2 linked regions of the Caenorhabditis elegans genome follow. The protein of the gene in region 2 interacts with the protein of the main gene of each other region in a pairwise test. Each region holds a gene or a part of one and is shown on either strand. Other genes may lie near its edges.

Evidence for each region.
Region 1: the proteins of abhd-14 (region 2) and ech-6 interact in a two-hybrid assay, tested with the Caenorhabditis elegans proteins (one large-scale study listed by BioGRID).

Annotation. Positions count from the first base shown.
Region 1 is NC_003281.10:9,751,052-9,754,750, forward strand, and holds ech-6 (putative enoyl-CoA hydratase, mitochondrial), read right to left. Parts: upstream 1,833-3,699; 5' UTR 1,825-1,832; coding exon 1,522-1,824; intron 1,476-1,521; coding exon 1,265-1,475; intron 1,217-1,264; coding exon 918-1,216; intron 696-917; coding exon 642-695; 3' UTR 501-641; downstream 1-500. Other genes in the region: vps-53 (Vacuolar protein sorting-associated protein 53 homolog), read right to left, coding at 2,777-3,145, 3,353-3,699.
Region 2 is NC_003282.8:1,026,920-1,032,099, forward strand, and holds abhd-14 (AB hydrolase-1 domain-containing protein), read right to left. Parts: upstream 3,121-5,180; 5' UTR 3,098-3,120; coding exon 2,942-3,097; intron 2,885-2,941; coding exon 2,763-2,884; intron 2,711-2,762; coding exon 2,509-2,710; intron 1,354-2,508; coding exon 1,266-1,353; intron 1,202-1,265; coding exon 1,029-1,201; 3' UTR 868-1,028; downstream 1-867.

The DNA.
Region 1 (3,699 bases), on a different chromosome or scaffold from region 2:
GAGAGAGGTAATCAGATATAGAAAATATTAGAAGAGATTGAGAGAAACTAAGAAAGGGCGGCCGAAAATTGGTGGTTAGGTAATGATATACTAGTATAGTAGATAAAAACATTTTTGTACAGTAGAAACTGAAACTGAACTTAATAAATCGTGATAGGGAAGATTTTTCAAACTTTGCCGCTTGATGTTGCTCCCTGCCGGCCATTAAATATTACAAAACTCACGGGAAAGAACCAGTCAAGCCACATCGCTGTCCACTGTTTCTGTAGTGTTTAATTGATTTTTTCTTCGAACAACATAAACAATCAGAAATCACAAATTTAATATTTAGCAGACCCAAGGTGGGTATGCTATTATTCAGCATACAAGTGTGTAGTGTTTCTGTAGTGTTTAATTGATTTTTTTTTCAAAAAAAAAACATAAACAATCACAAATCACAAATATGGAAAATCGAAACTGACTACAAAAAAAAAGGAATCAGAAAATCGTGAAGATGCAGCTTTACATATATATTTATTTTCAATGGCAGAAGAAACTAACCGTAAAATACAGAAAAAATACAAAACACAATAAAAATAATAAAACAAGAAATTCAACTAGGCACTTTGAATCATCTTCTTCTCTTATCTGTAGATGCGCATCTATTTCGACTCCCACTGTGGCTTTCTCTTCTCGGCAAAAGCGGTCATTCCTTCCTGAAAAACATCTTTTAAGGGGAATTTATCAGGTTTTCGAGAAAAATACTAAACTAGGTAGGAAACTGATTATTTCATTTTAAGAGAAGGTGGAATAAAAACTGGAACAATATTTTGATCACTGTATTTATTTGGCAGTTTTTCTACCGTAATAATAAATAAGTTTAAATAATTTATCTACAAAACTAGATTGCAATTTAAAAATTCATTTTGATAATTTACCTTTCTATCCTTGGTGGCAAAAGTGGCATGGAAAAGTCGTCTTTCGAAGTGAAGTCCCTCTTGAAGAGTAAGCTCATAAGCTTTGTTAACGGCCTCCTTTGCCATTTGAACAATCAGTGGAGATTGATCAGCGATTTTCTCTCCAAGTTTCACAGCTTCCCCGACAACCTGATCAGCTGGGAAAATCTTGCTCACAATACCGTGCTCCTTAGCTTCTTGAGCAGTCACGTGGTTTCCAGTAAGGCACACCTCCATGGCAAATGATTTTCCGGCGGCGCGAGCCCAACGCTGAGTACCTCCTGAATCATCGACGTTTAAAAATTTGATTTTAAAATATTGTCAATTACCTGCTCCTGGAATAGTTCCAATGTTAATTTCAGGTTGTCCAAAACGAGCCTTCTCTCCGGCATAGATAATATCACACATCATTGCCAACTCGTTTCCACCTCCCAATGCAAATCCGTTCACTGCAGCAATAACTGGCTTTTTCACATCACTGACAGCGGTCCAGTTGGAGAGGAAGCTTCCAGAAAATGTGGTGGCGAACTCGTTATTGGTCTGAAATCCGATAATTTTTAAAAAATTGGATTATACGCTGACTAACCATCTCCTTGATATCAGCTCCAGCGGCAAAAGCTCTCTCACTTCCAGTAATCACAATTGCTCCGACAGACTTATCAGTATCCAAAACTTCGAGAGCATCAGCCAATTCAGTCATAAGCTGAGCGCACAAAGCATTCAAAGCTTTTGGTCTATTCAGCTTGATAAGAGCAACATTTTGCTTCTCTCCAACTTTCTCGATCTTGATCATTTCAGGAGCTTTGCTTGAAAATGCGGCGACTTGCATTTGGTTGACATTTGCACACAATTTGGCATTGCGAACCAGCATCGACGAGAAGCGCATCATCTTGATTTCTGAAATTTCAGAACTTGAGTTGGAAAATGTTGATAACTAAGAAATGAGAAGAAAATTGGAAGTATTCAAGAAAAAGAAGACAATTGTAAAAGATGCAAAAGTGAACGAAACAGATATGAAAATAGACGCAGACAGTGAGAGATATACGAACGATAGAGCACACAGTGTGAACTGTGATCTATGAACTAATCAACAATAAAAACAAGAAAACACTGCTTTTTAAAGGTTTTTCTTGTTGTTATACAACGTGTCTAAACGTGCCAATTTTTACGTTTTTTCGTCAAGAAGACTCTAATTTGGAACAATTATAATTGTTATTAAATAACACAGACGCAAAATTTAGATTTTTGCCAAAAGAAACCATATCCGGTCTCGACACGACAAATTTGTGTGAAATACAAAAAGATGTGCGCATTTGAAGAGTACTATAATTGCAATTTACATAGCAATTTTTTAGATCCAAATAATTGTTTTTTATTTTCTAAACACATGAAAAATAAAATTCCGAAGATTTAGACCAATTTGGTATGCTGAATAATTAGCAGACCAATTTGGTATGCTAATTATTTATTGGTAAAATTTTACAACAAAAAGGGGAAAGCAGAGACAACTGCGCGAGATAACAGAGAGTGGGTTACTGTACTACTTAAAGGAGCATTCCTTTTTTCACGGCTTCAAAATATTTCGTTTGTGGCGAGAGAGGATACGGTATCTTTGAGTTACTGCATAATAAAAAATCAAATAATTTCGGAGAACAACCCATAAAAATTAAATTAAAACAAAAAGTATAAAAAGTAAGAATTAGAAATCTTATTCACAACTATTAAAACATTTCACATGAATAAATAAATAAATACAAAACTCCGATGAGTATTCTGAGAAACTTTCAAATAAAATTATGTAAATAAATTATAAATTTCGTTCTTTGGTAGTAGATCAACAATCACAATTGTCGTTTGACTAGTCTTTCGAATCTTTTAAGCTTATCAATTGATGACGTCACTGCTTGATCAGACAATCCATCTGCTGCCATTGATACAACTGCATTGAATGCTTCAGATACAGATGCTGCACTTCCAACAGTTGGTAGTGCTCCACCAATCCGAGAAGTTAGACTATTCGATTGTTGAATTGGATCCGAGCCAGATGCACCGATTTTCAATCGATAAGCGTTGAGAACTGCCGAATGCTCTTGTCGTTTAACTCCTTTCATTTCAAGAACTTTTTGCATTTCTGCTGCATCCGACGCTGGTAGAAGTTTAATATATTGTTCAACAAATTCATCGACAGTCTCCAAACTGCACATTACTACCTGAAAAATTATTTATTTTGAATTTCGCGTTTTTGGAAAAATGGAAAACAACAAATTAAAATTTTGGTCTTTCTAAACTTATTTTGACTTTCGAATTTCCGGAAAATTCACAATTTTTTTTTAAATTAAAACCCATGTTTAAAAACCGAATTTTGTTTTTTGATTTTTTGATTTTTCGATCTCTTTAAAAAATCTAAAATGTCTCACTTTCAAAATCATTTCAGCTTTTGTCAGAGCTGCATTCACACTGGTAACGTATGCCGTTGGTGGTTTTGAGTTGATAATACTATCAATTGATGGTACACTGAGCAAAAATGTTTTTAGCGAATGAGTATCAAGTAACAGTTGCTCAGCTCCATGAGTACTAATTGTTCGGCAACGGAATAATGATCCAACAAATTTGTGAGCAAGTTGAGTTGCGAGTTTTAGGCAAAAATGAGCAAAATATTTTCGGCGATCGGAGAGCATATCCCGAATGAGAGGAACTGCTTGTCGAAGATGAGCCCGCATTGATCCAATAAATGGGGATTCATCACCTACACAATCCACTGCAG
Region 2 (5,180 bases):
TTAAGAGTGCGGACGTCACATTTTCCTGGGGGGAAAAATTCCCGCTTTTTTTGTAGATCAAACCGAAATGAGACAGCCTGACACCACGTGTGGAATAAGATGCAAGGCTCCACTACACTATTGGCTAAGGTCTCTGTGCTATTCGTATTTCCATCCAACAACCATGACTCTCAGGAATGGTGAGTGTAACCACTCTTCTCCTTCCGAGTATTGATTATCGAGAAGAGATCAGCGGTTACACTACATTATTAGTAAGAGTCCTTATTCATATTCCGGAAAAACCATGCCTCCCAATGGTGAGTGTAACCGCACGTCTTGTTTCAAAACTCAATATATGGAAAAAGACCACCGGTTACACTACATTATTGGTTGGAGTCTGATTAATATTGCAATAATCGATGATGGTAGAATTGGAGTAGTGGATGTGGGTAAATTACTGAAACTTACAGATTAGGTCCCTAAAAACTAACAAAAATAACAAAGAAAAGATTGGAAAATTTTGTTAAGTGAGAGAAAAACCAGCTCAAACTTAGCAATAAGGACTAAAGGGACTGCATTTCAGGTTCGCGCGCAAATGATTTCACGCCGGAGGAATTCAAATTTTGAAGAGATATAGAACATCGATTGATTAAGCAGCCGACACTTGCCTGGTGGATTTTTGTGACAAAGTAACGTTAAAAACAACACACAAAACATGGTGCATCGACTACGAACAATGACAGGATAATCGGAAATGTCATTAGAATTTTTCATAATTTCAGAAAATTAAGCTAAACATCCTTTGTATATTCATTTACGCCAATTTTTTGCGTCAATTTAGCATTTTATCAGCTAAAAACTCCCGAAATTTTATATTTTCAGGACAATATAAAAAATCATTTTATTTCAGGCAAAAAGTGAACAAAAAAATGAAAGAGAGTTTGAAAGAGGATCAAAGATCGATATTTTCTCAATCAGAATAGAATTGAAAAAATTTCACCGGAAACGACGAAAAATGGCACAGAGACAACCAACATTTCCAGAACTCCTTAATGATGATAGCTGCGTATTAAGTCGAAAAAGTTCACGCAAAGGTTCTCAAAGCACTTTGGATTGTGTAGATAGCACGCGTGTCCGGCGTCTGGAATCTTCTGAAGCTTCACTTGTGGAAGGTTCTTGAGATTTGCAGCTGCAGTGGGGCCCAGAGACGTGTCGCGTTCGCCTGGAAAGATTTGAAGGTTAACAATGATTTTTTTGTTTGACAGTAAAAAGAAAGAAAAACTCACCCCAAACCACTAAAGTTGGCACAGTATAGGAAGAAGGGCTGACGACTTCGTGGGTGTTTGATGGGGCGACTAGGACCACACATGAGAGCTACAATAGTGAAATTAAATTGAACGAGCAATATTTGGTGTCAAATTGTGTTCAATGTTCTATGTTTGATGTTGTAAATAGTTAATAGGAGTATGATAAAATTATTACTCAAAAACAGGGGTGTGCGGCAAATCTCAAAATTTGCCGAGCTCGGCAAATTCGGGAAATCTCTTTTTTCATTATTTGCCGAGCACGGCAAATTCGGCAAATTTGTCGAGCTCGGCAAATTCGGAAAATTTTGATAATTCTTGATGTTTTTTGGAACACCAAAACTACCGAATTCTTAACACACATCTGGTTTCTGAATAAGTTCCGTGTAGTATGTCTGCATAAGCATAAAAATAACTCAATTTTGTGTCATTTTACTAAATTTTTGGCGAAAAAATCAATAATTTTAGCCAAAATTGTACTGTTAAATTTTTGACGTGTGCGGCAAATTTCGAAATTTGCCGAGCTCGGCAAATTCGGCAAATCTACTTTTTTGAAATTTGCCGTGCTCGGCTAATTCGGCAAATTCGGCAAATTTGCCGCACACCCCTGCTCAAAAACATTAATTTTTTAAGGAAAATCATAAATCGGAAGTCGACATAGACAATTGCTCATCGAGAAGTTATAGTTGTCAAAATTACTGTTAGGTTGGCGGAAAATTCAAATTTTCTGGAAAAATAGAATTTTGCTGGAAATTCAAATGTTCTCCAGAACAATTTTTACTAAAAATCAAAGTTTTATGAGAAAATATTTCTTGGCGGCAATTTCAAATTTTATGAAGAATATAATTTTGGTTGTGGTGCCAGGCTTTTCTATTACGGGTTGATCTACAAAAAATGCGGGATTTTTTTGCCCAAGAAAATGTGAGGTCAGCACGTTCTTAACCATGCGAATCAGCAGAGAACTCTGCGCCTCTTCTCCCGCATTTTTTGTAGATCTACTTAGATCAAACCGAAATGGAGCACTCTGACGCGCGGGAAGCAACATTTTCATAGAATAATTTTAGCTGGATGTTAAAACTTTATGAAAAACTATGGTAGGCAATTTGAATTTGCAGAAAAACATTTTCTGAAATTTTTTAGATATCTTTTTTAAAGATATAACTGATGGAACTTGACATAGACAAATGCTCGAAACCAAAAATCTCAATTTTTGATAAAAACTCACATGTCTCGTAGAAGTCATCAGTGGCAAAACATATTGTGCCGCCATCGAAGCACACACAATCATCACCTGCTTCAGACCCAGCGTTTCGATGAAATCCATCAAAAAATTCGGTTTCTCAGCTTGTGGGATAGCTGCTCCGCGAGTTTGGCCCGAGCCGGGAAGGTCGATGGCTATGGCACGGTAGCCGAGAGCCGCGAATGTTCTCAAATAGTTGAAAACTTGAATTTTAAGCTAGAAATCAAGAAAAACCTCACCTCAACAAATTATTCTCTGTCCACGTAGATGATGAGAAGCTCTGTCCATGTAAAAAGATGACTGTAGCCTTGGAATAGTGTGCTCCAGGTGGACGGGCTTCTCGGACGAATACTGAATGTGTCTGAAACTCGAACTCTAATTTTACAAAATTAACTTAAAGCAAAAGCTAAAATCTCACCCCTAACTCCACCCGGCTCTCATCATACTCCACCAGCTGTGCAAGTTTCCGCGCATTTTCTGGAATTGGGTGCGAAAGGTCGGCTCGTTCCAGTAGAGAACCCCCACTGGTGGTGGCGTGGTGGGATCCTAGGGGTTGGTGGTGGAGAAGAACCATTTTTGTATTGATCGGGGCTGAAAATTTGAAAATTTGGAAAAATTGATAGTTTTGTTAGATTATTGAGATAAAACAAAGCTTATTGAAAGAAAGGATTTAGAATTGTTTAACTTTGGAAGCTTGTATCTCGGTTAGTTTTAATAATATAAAGTAATGAAAAACTACATTGTTATAGAAAAAAAGCTGACCAATATTTTGTCAGTTGACAATTTTTTGATAAAACCAAAGAAATTCGAGATATGAGCCATTAAAGCTTAACGGTAAGTTTTGAGCATGCGTCACATAACTTTAATAGCTTGTATCTTGTTCAATTTTGTACATATCAAAAAATTAACTTAACTACAAAGTCATAGAAAAGGATGTAACCGATGTTTTGTCAGTTGACAGCTTTATAATAACTCATAAAATAACCGAGAGTAAACCTAATGATGATTTTTTGGTCGATGCACCATGTTTTACACCCATTCACGTTGACAATTAAAGGTGGTGTAGCACGTGCTCGCTGGCTGTCTCTTTGCATAATTTCGATGAAAACGCGCCCCATTCAGAATATTGTCGGTGAAATTCACTCGGACGAGCGAAGAAAAGAAATGAGACCGTCTCGTTGTCTGCGTCTCATCTTTTACACGCTATTTTCTTCTCCGAGAGGACTACGCGACCGGGGGGACGAGGAATCCTCCTCTTCCACCGTTTTCAAGGCCATTTCGCTCATTTTTTTCACGTTTTCTCGTCCGCGAGAAAATAGCAATTTTGAGACAGCCAGCGACCACGTGGTGTAGTCGAATTTGAGACTGTGCTTTAAAACATTCTCTATGCTCTTACAAGTCTATATGTAAAAGCGAAGCATCACAAAAATTTCGCTAAAGCGAGTTATGAGCCTTCAAAGTGCCGAAAAAAATCTCTTCGTCCATCCAATTTGAATTTCGCGCGCAAATGAGCGCCCCCTCGTGTGTACTCCTCTCGGACAATCAAATATGGCAATTTTAGGCGATTTTTCGTATTTTTGAAAGATTTTTCATAGTTTTTTCTGTGTTTTAATGGAAATAACAAAGAGTGAAAGTCTATGAATATAATTTGAACCGATTGATTGCTCAATTACACCAAAAAATAGACAAAACTAGCATTTTATTGAATTATCCAGTTATTACTCCATTTTTTGTACTGTATTACGTTAAATATTTGACAAAATACGATTTATTGTCTCTCGAAACATAAATTTCCAATAAAAAACGAGAATAGGCTCATTAAAGTACGAAAAATCACCTAAAATTGCCGAAAAGCAATAAATTAATTATGTGATTGTCCGAGAGGAGTACACACGAGGGGCGCTCATTTGCGCGCGAAATTCAAATTAGATGGACGAAGAGATTTTTTTCGGCACTTTGAAGGCTCATAACTTCCGTTAGCGAAATTTTTGTGATGTTTCGCTTATTCATATCGACTTGTACGAGCATAAAGAAGATTTTTAAGCATAGTCTCAAATTCGACTACACCACCTTTAATATCTCGGCTTATTTTAAAGATATCAAAATATCAAAAAAAAAGTTTAACTACAGAATTATAATAAAAAAATGTAACAAGTAATTTGTTAGTTGACAACTTTTTGATACAACTAAAGACAGCCGAGATATGAGCTGCCGACGTTGAGTCAGTCGATGCATCATGTTTCTCACTTTGGTTTTGGCAGGTCATATCTCGCTTTATTTGAAAGATATCAATAAACCGTAAACTAGAAAATCATAGAAAAATACTTAACAAACATTTTGTTAGTTAACAAATTTTTGATACCACTAAAGATAACCGAGATATGAGCCACCAAAGCCAACAGAGATACTTTCAAAAGTTTAAACAAAAATTGTGTAAAACTAAGTCAAAAAAGTATGAGACTTCAAAAGAATAAAATTGAAGGGGGTATTGTGTCTCGTTTTGCTGACTTTTTCTTCCTCCCCTCCTTCACCCTTTCATATGTATATTGCTTCTTTTTGAATTCCCCCGCCGGCGGTGTCGAAGGCATTTTACGGTCGTTTTAACAGTTTCTCGCATACCATACCGTTTTGGGGGTAAAATTGGATGGATGGACAAT